7 linked regions of the Macaca fascicularis genome follow. The protein of the gene in region 6 purifies or fractionates together with the protein of the main gene of each other region. This does not show direct contact. Links are inferred from orthologs where the notes say so. Each region holds a gene or a part of one and is shown on either strand. Other genes may lie near its edges.

The links.
Region 1: the proteins of NAPA (region 6) and STX10 purify together in Homo sapiens (affinity purification with mass spectrometry; 3 studies listed by BioGRID and IntAct, with this or other methods). This does not show direct contact. The link is inferred for Macaca fascicularis from reciprocal best matches to the Homo sapiens genes NAPA and STX10.
Region 2: the proteins of NAPA (region 6) and SEC22B purify together in Homo sapiens (affinity purification with mass spectrometry; 3 studies listed by BioGRID and IntAct, counting the BioPlex papers as one, with this or other methods). This does not show direct contact. The link is inferred for Macaca fascicularis from reciprocal best matches to the Homo sapiens genes NAPA and SEC22B.
Region 3: the proteins of NAPA (region 6) and VAMP4 purify together in Homo sapiens (affinity purification with mass spectrometry; 3 studies listed by BioGRID and IntAct, counting the BioPlex papers as one, with this or other methods). This does not show direct contact. The link is inferred for Macaca fascicularis from reciprocal best matches to the Homo sapiens genes NAPA and VAMP4.
Region 4: the proteins of NAPA (region 6) and VTI1A purify together in Homo sapiens (affinity purification with mass spectrometry; 3 studies listed by BioGRID and IntAct, with this or other methods). This does not show direct contact. The link is inferred for Macaca fascicularis from reciprocal best matches to the Homo sapiens genes NAPA and VTI1A.
Region 5: the proteins of NAPA (region 6) and STX4 purify together in Homo sapiens (affinity purification with mass spectrometry; 4 studies listed by BioGRID and IntAct, with this or other methods). This does not show direct contact. The link is inferred for Macaca fascicularis from reciprocal best matches to the Homo sapiens genes NAPA and STX4.
Region 7: the proteins of NAPA (region 6) and SNAP29 purify together in Homo sapiens (affinity purification with mass spectrometry; 3 studies listed by BioGRID and IntAct, with this or other methods). This does not show direct contact. The link is inferred for Macaca fascicularis from reciprocal best matches to the Homo sapiens genes NAPA and SNAP29.

The regions. Positions count from the first base shown.
Region 1 is NC_088393.1:13,550,163-13,552,672, reverse strand, and holds the end of STX10 (syntaxin-10), read left to right. Parts: intron 1-679; coding exon 680-787; intron 788-1,195; coding exon 1,196-1,302; intron 1,303-1,394; coding exon 1,395-1,489; intron 1,490-1,581; coding exon 1,582-1,658; 3' UTR 1,659-2,010; downstream 2,011-2,510. UniProt on the Homo sapiens protein: SNARE involved in vesicular transport from the late endosomes to the trans-Golgi network.
Region 2 is NC_088375.1:114,243,133-114,245,839, forward strand, and holds the end of SEC22B (vesicle-trafficking protein SEC22b), read left to right. Parts: intron 1-226; coding exon 227-381; 3' UTR 382-2,207; downstream 2,208-2,707. UniProt on the Homo sapiens protein: SNARE involved in targeting and fusion of ER-derived transport vesicles with the Golgi complex as well as Golgi-derived retrograde transport vesicles with the ER.
Region 3 is NC_088375.1:29,326,331-29,329,830, reverse strand, and holds part of VAMP4 (vesicle-associated membrane protein 4), read left to right. Parts: intron 1-2,130; coding exon 2,131-2,231; intron 2,232-3,139; exon of another isoform or gene 3,140-3,195; coding exon 3,196-3,275; intron 3,276-3,500. UniProt on the Homo sapiens protein: Involved in the pathway that functions to remove an inhibitor (probably synaptotagmin-4) of calcium-triggered exocytosis during the maturation of secretory granules.
Region 4 is NC_088383.1:121,710,711-121,714,210, reverse strand, and holds part of VTI1A (vesicle transport through interaction with t-SNAREs homolog 1A), read right to left. Parts: intron 3,263-3,500; coding exon 3,192-3,262; intron 2,543-3,191; coding exon 2,481-2,542; coding exon of another isoform or gene 2,477-2,480; exon of another isoform or gene 2,470-2,476; intron 1-2,469. UniProt on the Homo sapiens protein: V-SNARE that mediates vesicle transport pathways through interactions with t-SNAREs on the target membrane. These interactions are proposed to mediate aspects of the specificity of vesicle trafficking and to promote fusion of the lipid bilayers.
Region 5 is NC_088394.1:29,214,372-29,218,394, forward strand, and holds the start of STX4 (syntaxin-4), read left to right. Parts: upstream 1-1,223; 5' UTR 1,224-1,481; coding exon 1,482-1,511; intron 1,512-1,688; coding exon 1,689-1,790; intron 1,791-1,879; coding exon of another isoform or gene 1,880-1,901; coding exon 1,902-2,001; intron 2,002-2,137; coding exon 2,138-2,212; intron 2,213-2,649; coding exon 2,650-2,720; intron 2,721-4,023. UniProt on the Homo sapiens protein: Plasma membrane t-SNARE that mediates docking of transport vesicles. Necessary for the translocation of SLC2A4 from intracellular vesicles to the plasma membrane.
Region 6 is NC_088393.1:55,519,461-55,522,960, reverse strand, and holds part of NAPA (alpha-soluble NSF attachment protein), read left to right. Parts: intron 1-1,248; coding exon 1,249-1,365; intron 1,366-3,500. UniProt on the Homo sapiens protein: Required for vesicular transport between the endoplasmic reticulum and the Golgi apparatus. Together with GNA12 promotes CDH5 localization to plasma membrane.
Region 7 is NC_088384.1:31,848,204-31,851,703, forward strand, and holds part of SNAP29 (synaptosomal-associated protein 29), read left to right. Parts: intron 1-101; coding exon 102-187; intron 188-2,805; coding exon 2,806-2,904; intron 2,905-3,500. UniProt on the Homo sapiens protein: SNAREs, soluble N-ethylmaleimide-sensitive factor-attachment protein receptors, are essential proteins for fusion of cellular membranes.

The sequences.
Region 1 (2,510 bases), about 42 Mb from region 6:
TATTTTATGTTATGTTATGTTATTATTTTTTATTTTATTTTTTTATTTTTTGAGAGAAGGTCTTAATCTGTCACCCAGGCTGGAGAGCAGTGGTGTGATCTTGGCTCACTGCAGCCTCCGCCTCCCAGGTTCAAGTAATTCTCCTGCCTCAGCCTCCCCGAGTAGCTGGAATTACAGGCACCCGCCACCACGCCTGACTACTTTTTGTATTTTTGGTAGAGATGGGGTTTCACCATGTTGGCCAGGCTAGTCTCAAACTCTTGACCTTGTAATCCATCTGCCTCGGCCTCCCAAAGAGCTGGGATTACAGGCATGAGCCACTGCAGCCAGCCCAATTTTTGTACTTTTAGTAGAGATAGAGTTTCACCATGTTGGCCAGGCTGGTCTCAAGCTCCTGACCTCAAGTGATCTGCCCACCTCTGCCTCCCAAAGTGCTGGGATTACAAGCCTGAGCTACCGTGCCCATCCTGTTCTCTGCATTTTACAGATGAGGAATCTGAGGCACAAGGAAGTCAAATGACGGGGTCTCTGGGTCACCTTGCTAGTAAGTGGTGAGTGGGGAATGCAGGCTCTCCTGCCCCAGAGTCTGCCTCCCTGACTCACCACTGTGGGGATTTGTCCCCCATGCCCCTCTGGGAGTTGGGGTCCCTCCCCGAGCCTATGTTGTGTGCCCCTGCAGATCCTGGCAGGCAAGCCAGCTCCCCAGAAGTCACTCAGCGACCTGCTGGATGCCAGTGCAGTCTCGGCCACGTCTCGCTACATCGAAGAGCAGCAGGCCACACAGCAGGTTTTGGGGCCGGTGGGGTGGATCCAGGGAGGGGAGAGTCTTGCAGACCGATCTGAGGTCTGAGGTCCCTTTATGTTGTTGTTGTTGAGATGGAGTCTTGCTTTGTTGCCAAGGCTGGAGTGCAGTGGCGTGATCTCAGCTCGCTGCAACCTCCCAGCTTCAAGCGATTCTCCTGCCTCAGCCTCCTGAGCAGCTGGGATTACAGGCGCCCACCACAATGCCTGGCTAATTTTTATATTTTTAGGAGAGTTGGAGTTTCACCATGTTGGCCAGGCTGGTCTTGAACTCCTGGCCTCAAGTGATCCACCTGCCTCGGCCTCCCAAAGTGCTGGGATGACAGTCATGAGCCACCGCGCCTGGCCTTCTGGGGTCCTTTTCAACAGCACCTCCCACCCCTTCGCTCTGCAGCTGATCATGGACGAACAGGATCAACAGCTGGAGATGGTGTCTGGGAGCATCCAGGTTCTGAAGCACATGTCCGGCCGCGTTGGGGAAGAGCTGGACGAGCAGGGCATGTGAGGCCAGGACCCTGGGGGTGGGCCAGGGTCTCTCGGCCACCCTGGTGTGTCTGGGCCGTCTGGGGCTGATGCCATCCTGTTCTTGGCAGCATGCTGGATGCCTTCGCCCAAGAGATGGACCACACCCAGTCCCGCATGGACGGGGTCCTCAGGAAGTTGGCCAAAGTATCCCACATGACGAGTGGTGAGTCCCCTTGGGGGCGAGGTCAGTCCTAGTGGGGGCAGGTTGTAGGTGGTACCCTCTTCCCCGGTGACCTCTGATCTTCTCGTTCCCAGACCGCCGACAGTGGTGTGCCATCGCCGTGCTGGTGGGGGTGCTTCTCCTCGTTCTTATCTTACTTTTCTCTCTCTGACCCCAGCCCTCCCTGGCAGGCTGGTCCGTTAAGCCTGGGGAGCCACCAAGCACTTTGGAGCTGGCCTAGCCCCCTAGGAGGAGAGGGTTCCTCCTGGGTAGCTGGAAAGTAGAGGTTCCTGCCTGGGGAACTGTCCCCACGGCTCCCCCCCAGAGCCAGTGGTACCCTTCAGGACCCTGGGCCGAAACCACCACCACTGGTCCTGTCTCAAGTGCACTTAGGGGGTGGTAGAGGCAGCGTCACCTCAGACACACCCCTCTCCATTTCCAGTTCTGGGACCCCAAAGCCATTCGCCCCTGTGCCTTACACATGTGCCAACCTGGAAATAAAACGTCAGCCTTTTTTATACGTATTTGTGTCGTGTGGTGTGTGTTGACTGCAAAATGCATGACTGAGCCCTGATTGGGACTCCCATTCTAAGCCAGTGCTTGCACAAGTGCCCCAGTGTGTCTGTGCACGCGTGCGTGTTCCGGATTCCTTTTTTTTTTTTTTTTTTTTTGAGACAGAGTTTCACTCTTGTCACCCAGGCTGGAGTTCAGTGGTGCGATCTCTGCTAACTGCAACCTCCGCCTCTTGGTTTCCAGCAATTCTCCTGCCTCAGGCTCCCAAGTAGCTGGGATTGCAGGCATGTGCCACCACACCCAGCTAATTTTTGTATTTTTAGTAGAGATGGGGTTTCACCATGTTGGCCAGGCTGGTCTCAAACTCCCGACCTTAAGTGATTTGCCTGCCTCAGCCTCCCAAAGTGCTGGGATTACAGGCATGAGCCACCACGCCCAGGTGAATCTTTTTTTTTTAATGGCTTAGGTTCTCTTGATCTTTTTATTTTTATTTTTATTTTTGAGATGGAGT
Region 2 (2,707 bases), on a different chromosome or scaffold from region 6:
AATTCAGACATAATCTGATCTGATAATTTTAAACTGTATTATAGATTTTACAGTGTTTCAGGATCATCAATTAGTATATGCAATGTTAGTCTTAAAAATAAAAATGATGATTTAAGATTCATGGTTGTTGCAATGCTGCTCATTTTGGTTATTTTTAATGCCTTAATACTTTTGGCAAAATACTTCCAGGGACTAATTAATGTTTTCCTTTTTTCCTCTTTGACAGCATTGGATTCAAAGGCTAACAATTTGTCCAGTCTGTCCAAGAAATACCGCCAGGATGCGAAGTACTTGAACATGCGTTCCACTTATGCCAAACTTGCAGCAGTAGCTGTATTTTTCATCATGTTAATAGTGTATGTCCGATTCTGGTGGCTGTGAAATAATGAATACAGTCACTGGTAAGGGAGAACCTAGAACCCAGTAGGTGTATATTTTCAGGAAACTGAGCTCACAGAGATGTGTATTAGAATCCAAGTGGAACTTCTGCCTCTAAAGACCTTGAAAGAAAAGAGACGTCCTGAAAATGAAAGGTTACACCTCATTTAATGAAGCTTAACCCTATGTAGAAAGTCTGTTTCAGGGGCAGAGGCTTTCTCTGGGTGCTAAGCCATATATGTTAGGGAACAGTAGATTGTTATTTCGTTTTTTCCCTCCCAGTGCATTTTAAAAACAGCACTGACTGGGGCATTCTCATTCTCTAATGGAGCCATCAATGAGATTTAGTCAACCTGTACTAGCAACATTCTGAAATTCCTTCAAAGAAGGCAGTCCTTTGGGAAGGTTTTTTTTTTTTTTTTTTTTTTTTTTTGACTCTAATCAACATTCCTTTTGTTGGTGACATTTGTGATTTTCAATAATCTGAGTTTTTGATGGCCTTTTAAACAAGACTCCAGTATGTGAAGGTTAATTGCTGTGCTCCACAGATCTTGTCTATTGGCCCCAGTAGAAAGTTAACCTTTGTTGTTTTCCTTTTATAATTTGCTTATTGCACAATTGCTTTAGGGTTAAGTGAATTATATTAAGATACCTTGAAATTATAGCACTCTTCGATTGAGAAGCTACAATGTTTCTCTCATTTACTCCTTAAACAAAAGACTTAAATTAGTTTGGGTCATTATTACTTTTATTTTGCAGCATTTGGTTTGTACTAGTGTAAGAGCAAGTATAGGGTATAGATGAAGCCCCTGGCTTCATGAGAAGAAAGGAAGGCCCAGGTTATATGTACAGCTTTCTCCTGCCCCTTCTTTACTTTCTCTACCACAATTTTCTCCACTGTTTGTTTTCCTCCTGCCACAATTTGCTAACATTTAAAAAATTTTCCTGCACCTAGTAGTTTCATGTCCTGTAGACATCCTCTTAGGACATTCTCAAATTTCAAAATAAAAAATATTCATTTATGTAGTTAATTAAATTTAAAGTTTTTGCAGATCAGCTACTCAAACTACTAAATACATTTACCTGAGAAAAAGTCTCTGAGAGCACTTCATTCCTGTTTTGGTTCATGTAAATTCTCTGAGAATGTTCTAGAGATAGATAACTCATTTATAGTGGTTTCTATTAACTAATTAAAATACCCATGATTTTTTCCTTTTCTGCTCAGGGATGATGGGGATTTCCTTTTACCTTCTGAGGTAGAATTTTTTAATGGGGAAAATAGGCCTTTTAAATATTATCGCAAGGGTCTGCAATATAACGTAAAACTCCTGTACATACTGCAGATACTTCTTTAAATTGTACAGGAAAATGAGCGAACTTTTTATTTCTTAATATCTTTGGCGAAAACTTTAACCAGTAAGCAATTTTATAACCCTGAGGGATCCTCAAAGATACTATCCTGATTCCTGGTAAGGAAAAAAAATATTATTTCCTTATAACAAGGCAAGGAGGAATGCTATTTTATTCCTGATAATTTATAGAACTAGAATATTTTTTTTCTTTTATGGACCTAAATCTGCCAATTGGGAATTTTGTGCATGCAATATGAAGTTACCTTTTATAGATAATAAGTGCTTTTAAGTCCCTGAAAGGCTCCTGCCTAAGTAATGATGATGTTGATAATAAAAGCCTTTGAAAGGCTGAAAACCTAAATAGTGGTACCATAGTATTTGGAGCTTCTATAGGAGTGGAGAGGGGCAGCTCATTGTTGAGAGTTGCATGCTGCAACCTAATGGTCAGCAATGAAATAAATACTTCTAGAATATTCACTTCAGTGTGAAGTTTTATTATCTAGTTAATTTATCTACATATATCCTTTGTAGATACATTTCTCTCTAATCTTGTTGGGCTAATTAATAAAGGGATGGGGTAAATGTCAACAAAGGAAAAAGAAAGTGGTTTAAGATCAGGGTGGCAGAAAAATTAGAGAACAAGGATATCATAACGTGGCTCCTGGTTTTCTTTATAAGAGGCAGTGGGAAGATCTGACTAGATGAAATGTATCAGCAACCAAAGTGGCATCTAAAATAGAGTGGGATAAATACTGTATGGGGTTATTGGAGGCACATTAAGAAAGGACACCTAACTTATTTTGGGAAGAAGTATGGTAAGAGAAGACTTTCTAGAGAAGGAGAATGGGGCATTCTAGGAAGAGTCAGTGGCATGCGCAAAGGCATGCATAAAGACAGCGAGGCATATTTTGGAAATGTAACAGCTCAGTTCAGCTTAGCCCATAGGGTAAGCACAGACAACAGAGGAGACTTGAGGA
Region 3 (3,500 bases), on a different chromosome or scaffold from region 6:
ACATGCTATAAATAAGATAGAGTAATGGGGTAGAGCATGCTGTTTCACAGCTATAAGGTTAATACAGTGCATTCAATGTACGTTCGAACATATGTTCCGTAAGGGCTGGGATTACTTGTCTATTTTGTTCAATGTTACTTCCTCAGTACCTAAAACAGTACGTAGTAGGTTCTCGTTATTTGTTGAAGAAATTAATTAGTTGTGTATTTGTGCCATTGTTCTTAAATAAGATGAACACCTTCAACTCTCTACTTAGGGGACTGGGAGTTGCAACAAGATGTCTTAGAGACTTAGGGGTTCTTTCAGATCTGTTTGGACAGAAGAGAACTCTGCATGCCCAACTTGGTTGAGCTTCAGTCTTATATCCTCCAGTGGAATAATATGTGGGAAGCACAGAACTCTGGGATGCTGTGAAAAATCTTGAAGTTTATGTGTGGGTAATCAGTGGGTGTACATAATGCTTTTAACCTGGGATGGAGGTTACTGTCATCAAGCTTAGTAATTGCTACTTGAATCTGAGAGTACTTCTGAATCCACCTATGTCTAAATGGGCCTTCATTTTGTTTTTATAGCAAATTTTTTAAAGAACTAGCTCAGTGATCGGAAAGGATAGAACTCTTTCAAAATTAAACATGACCGTGCCTCACTCCTCACTTACTACATTAGTTTGGGGACTTGTGTGGGGTAGAGGGCGGAGACCATATCTGTGTATTGTAAAAAATTGTTAAAGCCCCCTACTCACTTCTTCCTTTTCCAACTAGAAACGCAATTGCATATCTTCATTTATTTAAATATTTATACATTTAATGTTTATAACCGTCATGGACCCTTAATGACAGGCTACGTTTGGAGACATGCATCATTAGGCAGTTTCATTGTGTGAACATCATAGAGTACTTACACAAACCTACAGAGTGTAGTCTACTACACACCTAGGTTATATGGTATGGCCTGTAGCTCCTAGGCTACAAAGCCATACAGCGTGTGACTGCACTCAATACTGCAGGTAATTATAACACAATGGTAAGTATCTGTGTGTCTAAACTTATCTAAACGTAGAAAACATGCAGTAAACATATGGTATTATAACTTATAGGACCACTGTTGTAAATGTGCTTTATCATTGACCAAAATGTTATGCAGCACATGTCTGCAGTAAGTAATCCAGTGCACTTTAAACAGTGTTTAGTTGTGAGGACCATGGATTTGCTTTATTTCTCCTTTTAAATATTTCATTGTTGTGACTTATTTCATAAAGTAATTTAAGATAACTTTTTGTCTTGTGGTTAGAGCCACAGAGGAGAATAAGACACTTAAAATGATTAAACATGTCCATGTTTGTGTACTCTGGAGTTAACTCCTGAATGAGAGTGGATAGCTGAAGACAGTTATTACAATTTTAAGTTTAGGTTAAGTCTTTACTGAACAGCCTGAAATTTGGTTAAAACAGACCCCCATCATCTAATATAAAGGATGAACAAACAATCGAAAAACAGAAAACAATTTTTTCCTTTTTGCTTCCTGGTGGGTTCTTCAAAATATTCCCAGGTGTCCCCAGTTATCTTATACCCTGTTTAAGAAAAATCTGATGAGCAGTGAAGAATTCTACCCATTGAGCATCAGTATCTCTTAGAATATGCCCTACATTTCCATTCTGGAAACTAGGAATGTTTCATAAGCCTTTACCGTACCTGAGCAAAAGGTATGTTAAAAAGTATGTTAACATACCTCCTTTGTTAGCCTTCGTGTATGAAATATATAGCAAAAGTAGGGTGCAGCCTCAATAGCCTGTTGAAAAGAAAACCTGATTATTTTTAGTGAAGCGGTTTAAACTCTGCACTTAATGAGCATGCTGACAGTACATTTAACTTGCTTATGGGTTGCAAGTCAGAAGCAGGGCTAAAAGTAAGCTATCTTTAAATATTACTTTAATTTATATCAAATTGTCTTTCATTATCTGAATACTGAAGCCCACAAATGGAAGAACATTGCTATAAAGTCCTAAATTTAAATTTAATAGTTGAATAATTCTCCGAGAATTTGCTGTTCTTTATTATGTCTAATGAAATTTCAGAAATTGTAAATATTCTCAAAAGAAGGATAAATAATTGTTTAACTTTTTTAAACTAGTGTTCAGAATCAAGTGGATGAAGTTATTGATGTCATGCAAGAAAATATTACAAAGGTAATTGAGAGAGGGGAGAGACTAGATGAACTACAGGACAAATCAGGTACAGATCTTCATGTATTCCTTGATATTACTAATCTGTTTGCTAGTTTTTTTCTTCTACTTATCTAGCCAGCATTTACAAATCTTGGCTTAGGAAACTGGTATTTGGTTCTTAAGTGTATGATTTTAATGGTTTAATTTTAACTCCTTTACTTTGAGTCATCTTATTGTTACATTATTTTTTAATTGTTCATTGGAGAATGAAGAATTTAAAATTTCATTGTTGAAGAGTGAAGAGTAGAGCTGTTTTTTCTTTCGCACTTTGATGTTGATGAACTTTGTGTTTCTCACGATCTCAGGGCCGAAAGACCTACTCACTTTTCAACACTTGTTTCAAACTTATCTGCTATTTTTATTTTATGTTTCATTTGGTAACTTAGTCACCTTTCTTTACTTTCAGTCATTACACCTATAACCTATATACCCATACCTGGCATGTACTTGGCACTCAAATATTGTTTGAATGGTGAATGGCTGAATACCTGATTAATCTTTGACAGACTTAAAAAAAAGACAACCTCGCTTAGTCACTTTTAAAATGTATATTGTTTTCCTTTAAAATCAGTCACTTTTGATATCTTCTAAAAAGCTAACTTCTCTACATGTAATTTTTTTTCTAGAGGTGTGCCAAGTGTTTGAATTTTTAAAGAGTATTTTCTTATTAGAATTCCTAAGCTTATTTATAAGCATTAAGGCCCTAAAAAGACTTTTCTTAATTTTATAATAAAAAAGGATTGAGCAAACTGATCTGCAAACTGTTTTTTACTTTTTGTTTTTGTTTTTGTTTTTTTTATAATGTAGAATGCCAGAGTTTGTGGGTGGAAAAAAGGGAGAATGTTGTTTTCATGCTTAAAAGGGAATAAATTTGCAGAAGTAGAAATTAATATTTTCTTATCTTTGTGTGACTAGATAAAAGAATCCTGTTATGTCGTTTAATCCTTCTCTCCATCCTCTATGTGATATAGAAAGCTTATCGGATAATGCAACAGCTTTTAGCAACAGATCCAAACAACTTCGAAGGCAAATGTGGTGGCGCGGATGCAAAGTAAGTAAATCAGAAGCTCCTGGATAGATTGGTCAGCATCTGAAGTGGTATTCAAACACATGAAGGAAAAAGGGCCTCTAGAGCATAACATCTGTGAGAACAGGGCCTATAACTGTCCTGAGACATGGTAGAAATTCAGTAAATACTTGTTAACTTAATTGCTTTTGGGATAGGGATAACTAAATAAATCAGTATGCCTAAAAGGATGTTTTCATAGATTTTTTT
Region 4 (3,500 bases), on a different chromosome or scaffold from region 6:
TCATCATATGAAAATAATTAAGCTTATGTTATATGCAGGTAAATGCTTGCACTGCACAATGAGGACATTCATTTCTTTTACACATTTGTGAAGGTAGCAGATGAGCACGATTCAGTATCATAGCATTTCCTAAATCAGAAGCGCTTGCTGACACACGACATAGCTATGCAGTTTTGGTAAGAAGAATAGTAAGAGAATGTGGCTTTTCTTTCTGAAATACAAGCTCACCAGGGCTGGAAGCGAAAGCCATATGAATGAATGGGAGGGATGTAACAGAGAAAGCAAAATCAGAGCATTCAATAAGAGGCTTTGGTACATAAACCCTGCCTCTATTTCTCTGCAGAGAGCTTTTCCATGAGATAACCAAAATAATGAAGCAGAGAGGTTGGTAAAATGTTTGTACCTTTTCCCAAGTCCAAAATACATTGTATATCATATGGGGCAGTAATTAGAAACTAAAACAAAACCACCACTGCATTTGGTCCCCAGAGACCATTGCCAGGTCAAGGCATTGGTTGAAAATATCTGAATATCCTGGCTGATACCAAGATCCCAGCTGTGCCTAGTGAAAAACATTGTCATGCATATGAACAGGTGGACTTAAGCGTACCCTTGGTTCAGATGTAGCAAGGTGATGTCCATCTGGGAATTTTTATTTCTGTTCATACTCTAGACACATCCCAAAAGAAGATGAGTCAGTGATTGACTGAGTTTGCTTACAAAGAGAACCCCATGTAGATTTCACCAGAGTAATTTTCTTCCGTAGGCTTCTGAAACAACCACGTTATTATGATTTCCCTACAGAAAGCCCAGTCAAAGGTTGCCGAAGTTGTTTGTGCTTCGCCCTCTCTAAATGACTTGCAAATTTATTCAAACACAATATGAGGAGATGCTTTATTTGTTGAAATAACTGTCTGCAGTGTCCTGCACTAAAGGGTGAGGTACATCAAGCAGAAACATGGACAGAAATACATTGGTTTCGAAACCCATAAATCCTTATTTGAATCTGCCAACCTGAAAGCCACGTGGAGCCCGCATAAACTATTTTTCCTAAATGCTACATCTGATTAAGCCATACCATTAAATGACAGCTGAACTTTAACATTAATATGATATTATTTAAATAACCACATCATTTTTTTTACACTAAAAATGATGAATGATTTCTGGACAGCTCAATTGACATAAAGCAGGAGGACTCTTTAATGAGATTTGACAAAATGGAGACATATGCAGAATATTCGTTACAGCTCACGACGCAGGAGCCCTCCCAGGAAAGCAACAGAGGTTTTTCCCTCCCCTTCCTTTCTTTTTTATTGTCTATAGGCACTGAAGCATTCCTTTCAATCACCACTACCCTTCTCTCTGAATTCTGAGTTTTTCTTAGGCCATTTACCTAGTACTCTTAATCAGAGAATTTGATGGCTTATGATTCTGAGTTGGGAGTCAGGGTCCAAGAAAATGAGAAGGAATGTCATATTATGCAAGCCTTGGCTGGAAATGTCCCAGGAACTTTAAGCTTGCTACTGGTCAGGCTACTTAGAAAAATCTTAACAGTCTTGAAGACCAAACCACTAGACATTTGATTGATTCTTATGTAATAAATCTGTAACACGGCAAACATACTTTTAGCAAACTATTGTATATGGATACGTGATCAAAGAAGACTTTAGTTATTTTTAGATGGTTGTCTTTATAGTATCAACTATAAAGATTTCCTTCTTAAAAATTCTAATTAAGCTATTCCAGAGGCCATTCTCAATGTTTCTCATTCACTTTTCTATCCACAGTTCCAAACTGACAGTCATGCTAGATGATATTCTTATGTGGTAGATTCTGAATGTGAAATAATTTTGCGCTGAATGTACTTATAAGAACATTACCTGCATTCATTCATTTATTTTCTCATACTATTTAGCATATTTTTCATCAATCAAGGTTGAGTTACACATATAAAACATGAACATTTGTTTGTTAGCACATATTATTCAGATAATCTTGACGTTTTATAAATCATCTTTCAGTGTATACATAAAACAGAAATGTTTCCCCAAACCGTGTCACTTAAAGAAATGAAAACAAGGCAACACAGAGCAAAACTAACAGCAACTGTGCTCCTGAAAATGGTAGGTCTGCATTCCCTCCATAAGAAGGAGGCCATCAAAATAGAAAATAAAATCAGCCTGCTCCTGCCATGGGGCCTTCCTCAGGCTATGAAAAAACACTTCATGTCTAACCCTAATTTTTTCCATAGCTTCAGGTTACCCCCCTAGCTCAAGCTTTCTCTCTAATCTGTGTTACTATGTGTCCCTGTCCAAATAAGAGTTAATATCAGTGCTTTATTATTTCAAACGGGTCCTGACACAGGGCACTAAGAGCAGAAGCTTAAAAGCATGTAATATGCCCCGTTGCAATTGAATGAAAACATAATAGTTTTAAAAAGAGACAGAGAGAAAGATGGGTCCCTACCTTGCTCTTACCTTCGCAACATCCCCGTCAGAATCCTGGAGCTTTTTCCCAAATTAGCGTCTGTTTCCCGAAGCTACAAGAAGAACAGCAATGTTAAAACAAAACAAAAGTTCATGCAATTAGACTATTTCTAAAGTGCATGGCAAGTGACAATTTATTTCACGGTAGAAAATCCAAACAATAAAAATGTTCAAATATACAAAAATAAATACATTTCTGACAGCTACACAAACATGGAAAATTCTTATATTTGGAGAATGACACATGAGAGGTAATCTTGGGAGCTTTAAGCTGGATACTAGAACCAGATATAAAAGCAAAGCACAGGCTGAAAAAGTTTCATAAACATTTGGTAATTCATCTCCAACTTATGAATGTGCAGTCCTAAAAACATAAAAATAATATGAATTGAGAAAAGATGACCACCAATAATTCTATAGTTTTCACTCTAAAAGATGAACATACTCCAAAATCTCCCTCAGTGACCTTCTCCTCTATAAGAAGTAAATAAAATACCCACCTGGGAGCATTCTGGGATGGGGACATAGAGTCGGCTGCTATTTGCTCCATGTCACTCTCTTTCTTTTCCTTTCCACAGACTTTACACCCTCTTTCACCTTAGATACATATAACTACCTAATTGCTACTGTTTATGTCCCAATGCCTTTCATTTATGTCTTCATTTACTGAATATGTGAAAAAACTATATCACTTATACTTACTCTTTCACGTGCTCGCTGTATCTTTTCTCTGTCATGACTAAGGTTTTCCAACATCTCCTGACCAATTTGCTCTATGGAAAAGAAAATCTGAGTAAGGAAAAATGACTCGGAGTGCACATGAGAATAACTCTCAGGAGTACCCAAATGACATAAAATGTTAAAGTAGCATGCATGCATTATACATTAGACACGTATTTCAATTCATGTATTTGAAAAATATAAACAGTATTTGATAAATGTGTCTATTTATCTTAGGTATAATTAGATATTTGACCTATAGAACATAACCAACATGAGAATAATGACTTA
Region 5 (4,023 bases), on a different chromosome or scaffold from region 6:
CAAAAATATCCATTAAATGAATGTTCTGTGCATGGTGGTGCATGCCTGTAATCCCAGCAGTTTGGGAGGCTGAGGCAGGAGGATTGCTTGAGCCCAGGAGTTAGAGACCAGCTTGGACAACATAGTGAGACCCCATCTTGTAAAAATTTTTAAAAATAAAAAATGAGTGAATATCTCGATAGCCAGGATTAGAGAAGTGTCACAGTCAGAAAGACTGAAGCCTAAAGAAGGCCAAGGAACCAGGGTCTTCATCCTCAGATACATGAAAGGCTAAGATTCTGTCCACAAGTATTTATAGAGGGCCCGTAATGTGCTTGGTACTGAGCTAGGAACTCCCCAGATTCAGTTAAGAACAAAGTCATTACCTGCCTCAGATGCAAGGCAGGGTCTGGGGGGTGTGAGTGGCAGGGAAGGCAGCGTGCAGAGACACTTTTCTTAGCCTGAGCTGCCCTGACATGGTCTGACAGCCCACAAGGTGGTGAGTGCAGCCGGGCTGTAGTGTTCAAGGAGGGCGCCGGCTGGCTGCCCACCTGTCAGAGGCTGCGCCAGGAGGATGCGGAAGAAGAGGTTTCTGCCTTGGCTGAGGTCACTTTCCACCCCTAGATTCCCTGCCCACACAACCCTGCAATTTTCTGACGCTGACGACTCGGATCCTATTATTTCCCGATTTTCAAGGTCCCATGATGCTGACAGCCCCAAATGCTAAGTCGTCAGTCCGCCCACGCCCCTGGACCCGAAAGCAATAAAGGCGAAGTCAGCAAGGGTCCTACCACCCACTGCCTCGAAAGGCCTCTGGGAGTGGTGGGCGCGCCCCTCCCCACCTCGCGGGGGCCGTGTGGGCGTCGTTCGGTGGTCGGAGTGCCGGGGACGTCGTGATGAAAACAGCGTCCCAGAGACGGCGCTGACCGAGCCGGGACACGTGACAGTCACAGCGTCACATTCTGCGGTCCACGAGTTTGGGACCGGGTTGCTCACGTGACGCGGTGGGGGCACCATGGGGTGATATGAGATGCGGGTGCCTCAGATTACGTACAAATGACGTATTCCTACCCCTTTTGGCAACCAGATTTCCGTTGGAAGATGCAACGGTTCCGGTGACGGTAGCCAGTTCTCGCGTCCACGCAGCTCCGCTTCCGCTCGGGGCGCAATAACTTCCGACTCCACCTTCCGCGCCTCGGGCGAGGAAGAGACGCGACCATATGCGCATGCCCCGAATTTATCACGGAGGGGCGGGGCTGAGGCTGCGGGAGCTGGAGGGGGGAAGAAAAGGGAATTCCAACCTGTGGAACCTTGGGGGGTCCCCGGGGTCGGCGCCTTCCCATTGACTGTGGGCGGTGCAAGGGACGGAGGCTCTGGTGGCTCGTGGGGGTGTTGGGGTCCACAGGGGGAGGGAGGGGAGTGTCAGAGTGTGAGTGGGGTACGGGTATTCCAAGTTTGCCGGCCTCCCGGTCTGACGCCGGGGAGGGAGAGCTCAGGCCGCCATGCGGGACAGGACCCACGAGCTGAGGCAGGTGAGACGCCAGGGCAGCGGGGATGGGGGCGCGCGGACGAACTGGAACGCAGGACTCCTGGTCTTCGGGGTAGGGAGGGGTGGCTGATGGCCAGGAAGGAAAGTCCCGGAAGCCTGTGGGTCCTGCGGGGTGACAGCCGCAGCGAAACAGTGGTGCCAATGACTCCGGGCCTGGCAGGGGGATGACAGCTCGGACGAAGAGGACAAGGAGCGAGTCGCGCTGGTGGTGCACCCGGGCACGGCACGGCTGGGGAGCCCGGACGAGGAGTTCTTCCAGAAGGTAAGGGGATGGAGTCTTGGCCTGGATTCGCGAGGGGGTAGGAGGACCCGAGGAGCAGCGTGGTCTGGAGTACCCCATATCTCTTTCAGCCCTCTCGGTCACCCTCCCCAGGTCCGGACAATTCGGCAGACTATTGTCAAGCTGGGGAATAAAGTCCAGGAGTTGGAGAAACAGCAGGTCACCATCCTGGCCACGCCCCTTCCTGAGGAGAGTGAGTGAAACCCCGGCTGCATAGCGCATGCTCCGCCCCAGGGATTGTGGGGGTTGTAGTTCCACGCAGGTGGTGGCCAGGGTGGTTTGTTGAGGTGGGGGCTGCTGTTTGGGAGTCGTGGCCTTCTCTTATTCAGGCATGAAGCAGGAGCTGCAGAACCTGCGCGACGAGATCAAACAGCTGGGGAGGGAGATCCGCCTGCAGCTGAAGGGTGAGCTACTGGGACCTCAGGCAGATCCTTCCCTCTGATCCTGCCCTGTTGTTGGTATATCTGGGGAGTGTGTGGCCCAGAGAAGCCAGTGATATATCCAGGTCACACAGCAGGCCTGGTTCTAGCATCTCTGTCTTCTGGCCTCCAGGCCATTGTACTCTCCACAGCACAAGGCAGTCTCTCAGGTTCTTTTATTTACAATGAAACCATTTACTTACACAGTTATCACTGCCCACTGGGGCATTCTTTGGGCAGGGAGATGGGGTTTTGTTAGGTGGCCTCTGCATTCGTACGGGAACTCAAGTGATGTAATGCAAAGAAAAATAAACTTACTTTCTCCTCTTGGAGGCTCAGCCTTAGTCATTTTATGATAAATTATATTTCCCTAAAAATCCTATGGAGACAAGTACCCCCAATACCCCTGTGTCTTCCCACAGCCATAGAGCCCCAGAAGGAGGAAGCTGATGAGAACTATAACTCCATCAACACAAGAATGAGAAAAACCCAGGTGGGTTTTTTTTCTCAGAAATGACATTTCAGCAAATGTTTCATGAAGTAGTAGATGACAGATGTATGAAGGAAGGGCCTGTAGAGGTCATGGAGTCCAATTGGATGATTTTTCCAAGTGGGGAACCTGAGCTCAGAGAGAGAAAGAACTTGCTCAAGGTCAGGAAACCAGGTCTCCTGATGCTCAGTCCGGTTATAACACCCTGCTTTATTTTCTTCCATTCAATAAGAAGTTACTTATTGACCCCAGACAAGACCTAGGCTTGACTGTGGGACACGTTTTCTTTTCTTTTTGCCTCAGCCTCCTGAATAGCTGGGATTACAGGCGGACACCACCATGCCGAGTTAATTTTTGTATTTTTAGTAGAGACGGGGTTTCCCCATGTTGGCCAGGCTGGTCTCGAACTCCTGACCTCAGGTGACCCTCCTGCCTTGGCCTCCCAAAGTGCTGGAATTACAGGCGTGAGCCACTGCGCCCAGCTGGGACACGTGTTTTCTAGGAGTCAACATGAGGAGTTAGGGTTCAATAGGGGATAAAGACATTACTCACGTGGGATCTGGTGGCTAATGGCGCTGCCCAGGGAAGGAGAGTGAGAAGTCACAAATTGACTGGCAGGTTTGCTATCTGTGTGACAGGGACATCCTTAGTCCCACAGGTGGAATTCAAGAAGTCAGGAAGTGGAACTTCCCTGGGGCGACACTGAAGAGGAACTCCCCTGGTGTAATATCTTTTTTTAAAAAATTATTATTATTTTTTTGAGATGGAGTCTCTCTCTGTCGCCCAGGCTGGAGTACAGTGGCACAGTCTTGGCTGACTGCAACCTCCACCTCCTTCAAGCGATAATCCTCCCTCAGCCTCACAAGTAGCTGGGATTACAGGCGTACACCACCACACCTGGCTAGTTTTTTATATTTTTGGTAGAAATGAGGTTTCACCATGTTGGCCAGGCTGGTCTTGAACTCCTGACCTCAAGTCCTCAAGTGATCCACCTGCTTTGGCCTCCCAAAGTGCTATGATTACAGGCATGAGCCACCGTGCACGGCCCCTGGGGTGATATCTTAGTAAGGAGATTTGCAGTGATCTGACTGGCCCTCTTTGTGTCCCCAGTGAGGAGGATACCAAGAGGTCAGGGTTGGAGTAGTTGAGCCCAGGGCTCAGCAAGGACCCCAGATTGAAGATGAAACAGCTTGGGCATCTTGGAAGGGTGCAGCTGGAACCAGGAGAGCAGATGTATCTCTGGAAAAGGAACTCCAAGGAATGAGCATATTTAAGGTCTCAGGAGAAGGGGCAAGGCAGAGCAGAT
Region 6 (3,500 bases):
GATTCGCCCACCTTGGCCTCCCAAAGTGCTGGGATTACAGGCATGAGACACCATGCCTGGCCGTAATTTTATACTCAAATTTGGAACTCTTGAAAATAATAATGAAATCATATAGTGAAAATCTGGAAGGCTTTGTCTCTTCTGCTGCTCAAACTTAAGAGGATGGGGCTAGGCCTCCTGGTCCTCTTCCAGCTCAGAAACTCTGACTCAGATTCAGCTGGAGGAGAATGAAGGGGAGAAGCCTCAGAACTGAGCTGGAGGTGGTCAGCTCCACGAGGAGGAGGAGAGACACTGCTGCCTCCCAAACGTCAGTTAGGAGATGTGTGGGCAGAATGGCTTGGGACCCACAGAAGCTGACTGTGTGCAGATGAGCACAGGACAGACGAGGCTTCAGGCGCCGTCTCTTCTGCCCTCCCCCATTGGCATTGGTCTGCATGTACTCATTCTTGGTGTCCACATCCTGTTTCCCTCTCTGGACGTGCAGTTCCTGGAGGGAGCCGGCTCTGTGTTGTCCGACCCCAACTCCATGAGCCTCACAATTCACACAGGTGCCTTGTCCTTGGGGATCTGCAGTGAAGGGAACAATGTGAACGGAGGCAGAGGAGTTGGGTGAATCAGGAAGAGCTTTGGGGAGCTGTGGAGAAAGAAACAGGACTTGGAAAGGGGAGTAGATGGGAAGGTGTTATGTGGTTTAATCTCAGTTGCTCCTTGCTTCCCAAAATACCCCTCCCAAGCCACCCCGTGATTCAACCTGCACTTTGCCTTCTAGTGGTGGTTCTGGGCCCTGTGCTTTGAGGCTCCCCTAGGGAGGACTGCCCAGGCTGGGAGGTGCAGGAGGCCACTCACTCTGTTTTATATCCTTTCCAACTCAGCTCTGTCTGCCTTCTCCTTGGATCTTTAGAAGTGGTGGCCCTGGAAATACCAGCATAGCTGGGATTAGGGACATGGCATTTTACCTGGGCTTACCCTGGCTCTCTTTCCATATACCTGGGGCTCAGGGGCTTCCCCTGAGGCAGCTTCCTGCCGCCCTTAGAGACTGTCAGGCACACCACCAGGAGCCTCAGTGCAGGAGCCAGCAGACCTGAGGTCTAGGCCTCAGTCTGGGCTCGCTCAGGTCACCCTCGTCCTATCTTGGGAACTCTTTCCACATTTTCAAGAGCCCGATCCACCTCCCAGGGCAGTGCCTCTGTGGCTTCATAAAGTGTGGAGCCCCACTGAGGCCGGGACCACCCTTCTCTTCTGTTCCAGCTGCTGGAAACGCGTTCTGCCAGGCTGCGCAGCTGCACCTGCAGCTCCAGAGCAAGCACGACGCAGCCACCTGCTTTGTGGACGCCGGCAACGCATTCAAGAAAGCTGACCCCCAAGGTGAGGATCTCTGTTGGCCACAGGGGCTGCCTGCCTGGCCCAAAGCGCCGTCCTAGCACCCTGCATCGAGTCCTCGGGTTTCCTGGAGGCTCTGGTTTTTCCAATGGCCGACGTGATAGGCTGGCAGGGACGCGCCTGAGGTAGAGTGAGCTTTGACTTCAGAACTGGCTCCCTTCCTTGTGGTTGGCATTCGCGCCCTGCTCAAGTCTCCGCCCCCTGTCTACCCTGTCGGTGCAGCTGATCACCCCTTCCCAAGCCCGGAGCATTTGGGAGTGGGAGTTCCATTGCAGACCCACCGCCTGCCGGGGAGAGAGGAAAATCTGTTCTGTTGTCAGAATTAACATGCAGAAGGGAGCAGGGTGGGGGGGATTTCTGAGACCAGCCAGGTAGGAGTTGCTGCCGAAAAAGGAGCGGAAATTAGCCCAACCTGGCTTCCCTACATCCTGGGGAGGAATTAGAGAGAACAGAGCCCGAGATATAGTTGCCAGAGAACAAATTACTTAAACTGAGAGCGTGTTAGGGACAGAAGCCCAGTTTGGGGCTGACTCATGGTGAGAAAACAGTTTTTGTCCCCCTGGGTGCCTCCTGAAGAGGAAGCCCAGCCCAGTGTTTGTATGGGGCGGGAATTTTAATTTATTTTTTAAAATCTTGGTGCTAGGTACAGGTTGCTAATTAGAAAGCACAGGCAGTTTTTAAAAATGACCATCTACTGTCACTGTCATCTCAGGGGAATGGAAAATATATAAATCTTTAAAAAGTAAAAAGCAGCTAAATGATCTTGGAATAAGGGTCTGTTCTTCCCAAGAGAAGACAGATTTGCAGCAGTGCAGGGCGCTTCCTCCATGGATCAGCGAGCACTGGTTCACACACCGTATTTGGGAACCGCTGGCATACCCCTTTGTCATGATCTGAGATATTAGTTCCCAGACGAGGATGAATTTGTGTGTTGACCAGTAGCACTTCTCTGTCCTTAGACTAACCAGTTGCTCCTCACCAGCCGAGCATCTCACACATTGGCCTCAGTGGTCACATGGTGGGGCTCAGGCCTGGCAAGAGGCGGAGGAGCAGCCTTGTAACTGGGTGGGCCGTGGAGCTTGCCTGGCTGGTAGCACGGGGCCACAGCGGGCTGCGTGGGTGATGCAGTGATGACCCAGGGAGACCCTGAGTTGGTTTTAAGCTTGACTTACCCCAGGAAATCTCCATGCCTTCCATTAAGCTGCCCCGCCAAGCCTTTCCTTCTGCTCCCTGGGAAACTGGTTGGCCTAGAGGCGCTGTCTTAGCATCTGTGATGTTCAGCTGCTGCCTCTTCTGGAGTGACTAGAAGGACTCTCTGGGGCAGCACTGAGCGCCAGGCTGCAGAACAGTGAGTGCCATTTGCTCTTTCAGCAGACTCTTCACTTCCTGCAGACAGGCCCTACCTGGCAGTGGGATATGGTGGGGTCCGTCCCCTGTGTTTGATCTGAGCTTTTCTAGCTCTCCAGCTAGACTCTGCAGGGTGTGGGCCTGGAGTCTGGATGTGGCCCTTCCCTTGCCTTAGGAAGCTCAGAAGGTGGCTGAGGACTCTGACTGGTAGGAAAGTATAAAGATGATGCCACATCCAGGGCACAGAGGCCGACTTGCGCAGAGCTGAGGCTAGGAGGGGGAGAATTTGGCTAGGGGAGATCTTTCGGGGAAGAAAGGGGGCAGTTCTGAGAGGCGAGCCTCACTTGAGTAGAGCTGAGAGCAGGTGCCATGTCCAGAGCCCTGGGGAGGTGGTGCTGAGCAGGGAGGGGTGTTAGCGCAGTGTCCAGAGCTACAGCCTAAAGATGCGCACCCCAGCCATGGCTCCCAGTGGGGCAAGGGGCACACTGGCATCAAGGGCAGCGGCTGCTGTGTGTCTGAGGCTAGTCAGGCCTTACAGAAGGCCAGGTGCAGTGGCTCATGCCTGTAGTTTCAGTGCTTTGGGAGGCTGAGGCAGGAGGATCACTTGAGCCCAGGAGTTCAAGACCAGTCTGGACAACATAATGAGATCCTGTCTCAAAAAAAAAAAAAACCACCTCACAGAGAATGTCATGTAGCAGCTGTGTGTGGCTCAGCAGTGCAGGTGGTGGATGGTCTGGGAGGACCCTGCCTCCCCTGTGATCCTGGGCAAGTCA
Region 7 (3,500 bases), on a different chromosome or scaffold from region 6:
TGATTTTTGGCATACAGGCATTATGTGAAAATACTGATAACATTGTCATAGGGATTTTTCCTTTTTTAATACTGTCCTTTTTTGTAAACTTTTATCCAAAGATTGAAAGAAGCCATAAGTACAAGTAAAGAACAGGAAGCAAAGTACCAGGCCAGCCACCCAAACCTTAGAAAGCTGGATGATACAGGTAAGTGGATACCTGTGTGCACAGCCCGAATTCTAGCAGGGAGACCTCTGGGTTTGGCATTGGTCCTTAGGGGGCAGTAGCAATCTCTCGGGGGAAGTGGGCAGGGGCCCCAGCTGCCAGCATCACCCATGCTAGCCAAAGGGCCTTAGGGACCCGGCATGCTCTTGGGGAACTAGGGGTGTGCCTTATGGTAGGGCTCCTCCCTCCTCCCTGCCTCCATGGAGAGGAGAATAAGGAAGTGAAGGCCTGCGTTCCATTGAAAATGAGCCTGCCTAGCCTGGTGCAATAACACACGCCTGTAATCCCAGCACTTTGGGAGGCCAAGCCAGGTGAATCACCTGAGGTCAGGAGTTTGCGACCAGCCTGACTAACATGGTGAAACCCCGTCTCTGCTAAACACAAAAAAATTAGCCAAGTGTGGTAGCATATGCCTCTAATCCAAGCTACCTGGGAGGCTGAGACAGGAGAATGACTTGCACCTGGGAGACAGAGGTTGCAGTGAGCTGAGATCATGCCACTGCACTATAGCCTGGGCAACAAGAGTGAAACTCTGTCTCAAAAAAGACAATAAGCCTGCCCATCATCGGTTCCTGCCTATGTCACTCTCAGTTGTTCCAGCAGTAAAAAGGCAACTACAGAAAAACCCCTTGGTAAATAGCTGTCCACGTCCTAATCCCCAGACCCCGTGAGTCTGTTAGGTTATATGGCAAAGGCGGAATTACAGTTGCAGATGGAGTTACAATTGCTAATCAGCAAGATGGGGAGATTATCTTGGGTTGTCCAGTTGGGTCCAGTGTCATCACAAAGGTCCCTTTTAAGTGGAAAGAGAAGCAGAAGAGAGAGTGGCAGAGTCAGAGATCTGAAGATGTTGCTGGCCTTGAAGATGGAGAAAGGGACTCACCTGCCAAGGCACACAAGTGAACTCTAAAAACTGCAAAAGGTGAGGAATTAGATTCTTCCCAAGAGCTCCAGAAGGAGTGCAACCCTGAGGACACCCCGACTCAGCCCAGTGAGACCCACGTTGGACTTCTGACCTCCAGAACCGTAAGACAAGTTTGTGGTCATTTGTCACAGCATCAATGAGGGGCTAATACAGCCTCCAGCCCAAGCAGGAGGAGCAGCAGCCACATGGACAAGGTGTGCAAGACAGTGAGTGTTGGTCAAATCATTCCACTTCTATCAAGTGATAGGCCCAGAAATATCCCTTATCTGGAAAGGAATTTAGGGCTTCTGGGGCCTCCGTCATAGGCCCCCCAACAGCCAGGGTACATTGAAATTGGTGCTAGAAACCAAAGGCTTAAAACTGTGCTGCCTTCAAGAAAACGATACACCATGGAAGCTCTGGAACCCACCATGGTTGTGGTCGATGCAGCTGGGGAGATCAGATGGAGGAAGAGCGGGAAGCAGGAGAGACTGACACCATCAGCACAGTTCAGTCTGGAAAGGCAAGTGGAGGAAGTGAGTGTAAATTGAAAGGCAAGGGTGGGGAAAATCGGCCTCATCACACCCTGGAGAAGTGGCACAAGACACTGCACCCAAGACACAATTTTAAGGAATTAAGGAGTTTCCATTTGTGTCGTATATATTAAAAGACTGATGGCCGGGCGCGGTGGCTCAAGCCTGTAATCCTAGCACTTTGGGAGGCCGAGATGGGCGGATCACGAGGTCAGGAGATTGAGACCATCCTGGCTAACACGGTGAAACCCCGTCTCTACTAAGAAATACAAAAAATAGCCGGGCGAGGTGGCAGCGCCTGTAGTCCCAGCTACTCGGGAGGCTGAGGCCGGAGAATGGCGTGAACCCGGGAGGCGGAGCTTGCAGTGAGCTGAGATCCGGCCACTGCACTCCAGCCTGGGCTACAGAGCGAGACTCCGTCTCAAAAAAAAAAAAAAAAAAAAAAAGACTGAAAAAAAAAATCGGCACAGTTTGCAGTATGGTTTCAGTTGGTTGGTGCTGGAGGAAATATGCTAAGTCTAGAAAGTGATGTTTCCCTAAAGGAGATAAACTGGGATGACAGGGCTTTTCTGTGTGCATTTAGAAACTGAAGTTCATTCAAGCCAAGAAAGATAACTTTAAAAAAGAAGAAACTAGGGTTCAAGGAAGATTTCTTACGGCAAATGTGCATTATTTAACATTTCTTTTTTTTTTTTTTTTTTTTTTGGCTTATTTGTTTCAAGTGAAAATATAGCGTAGAGATAAATTTCGGAAAGAAACAAAATTACCCATAATTCCATTTATGTAACGTAACAATGTGTATTTTTAGACTTTGTCCACAGACTGTGTAGTTTTGCATTATTGCAGTTCCACTGTGTATTGTCACTTGTGTGACTCGTGTCTTTCCTGAGCTTGTGCACCAGGGTCTGAGTAGGTGACCCTTAGTTTGAGGGTCTTTCATCTCCCAAGGACTGAGGGAAAGTGGGAACCATCCCCTACCCTGTGGAAGCATCTCTCCTGGCCCATGAGCCTGCACTGTGCTCCTCCCTCATCCCTCTGGATAGCCTCAGAACCAACCTTTCATTCCTTCCACCCATTTTCCAGATGAAATTGTTTTGGGTGTGTGAAGCAGCATTTGAACAATGTCAATTAACCACTCTCCTGGTGTCTCCTTCTAAACTTAGACCCTGTCCCCAGAGGGGCTGGTTCTGCTGTGAGTACCGATGCTTACCCAAAGAACCCACACCTTCGAGCCTATCACCAGAAGATCGACAGCAACCTAGGTAAGACTGAGCGCCACACCAGCTTCTGTAAGCCACTGTTCCTTCAGGCAGCTCACGCCAAGCATAGCCCCTACGTGAGGACCCTCCAGCTTCAGCTCCCTCCCCACACATCGCATCCCACACTAAGCTGGGTCCATCTTGCCACCTCACTGTCTCTGGAATCTCTCCATTTCTCACCATTTCCTACTTCCAGCCCAACCGAGCCCTCCCCACCTCTCACTTTCATGAACAGCACCAGGGACCCAGGAGTCCCTGAGAGGCGATAAAGTGGAGCCTGGACATGACCGCTTACTCCATCCTTCCCTTCCCACCTGGCCACTCAGAGCCCTGTTTTCCTCCTTGTGAAACGGGCTGCCTCTGAGAACAGTGGGAAGGTTACCTGAGCCAGAAAGTGCCTGGGATGTAATTAGCGCTCGTGTTGCAATTGGCATTTTGGCCACACAGCCTCCAGCATGATGTTTCAAAACAGAAGGGTGTGCAGGGGGACAGGCGCAGTGGATCACGCCTGTAATCCCAGCACTGTGGGAGGCCAAGGCAGGTGGATCACCTGAGGTCAGGAGTTCAAGACCAGCCTGACCAACATGGTGAAACCCTGT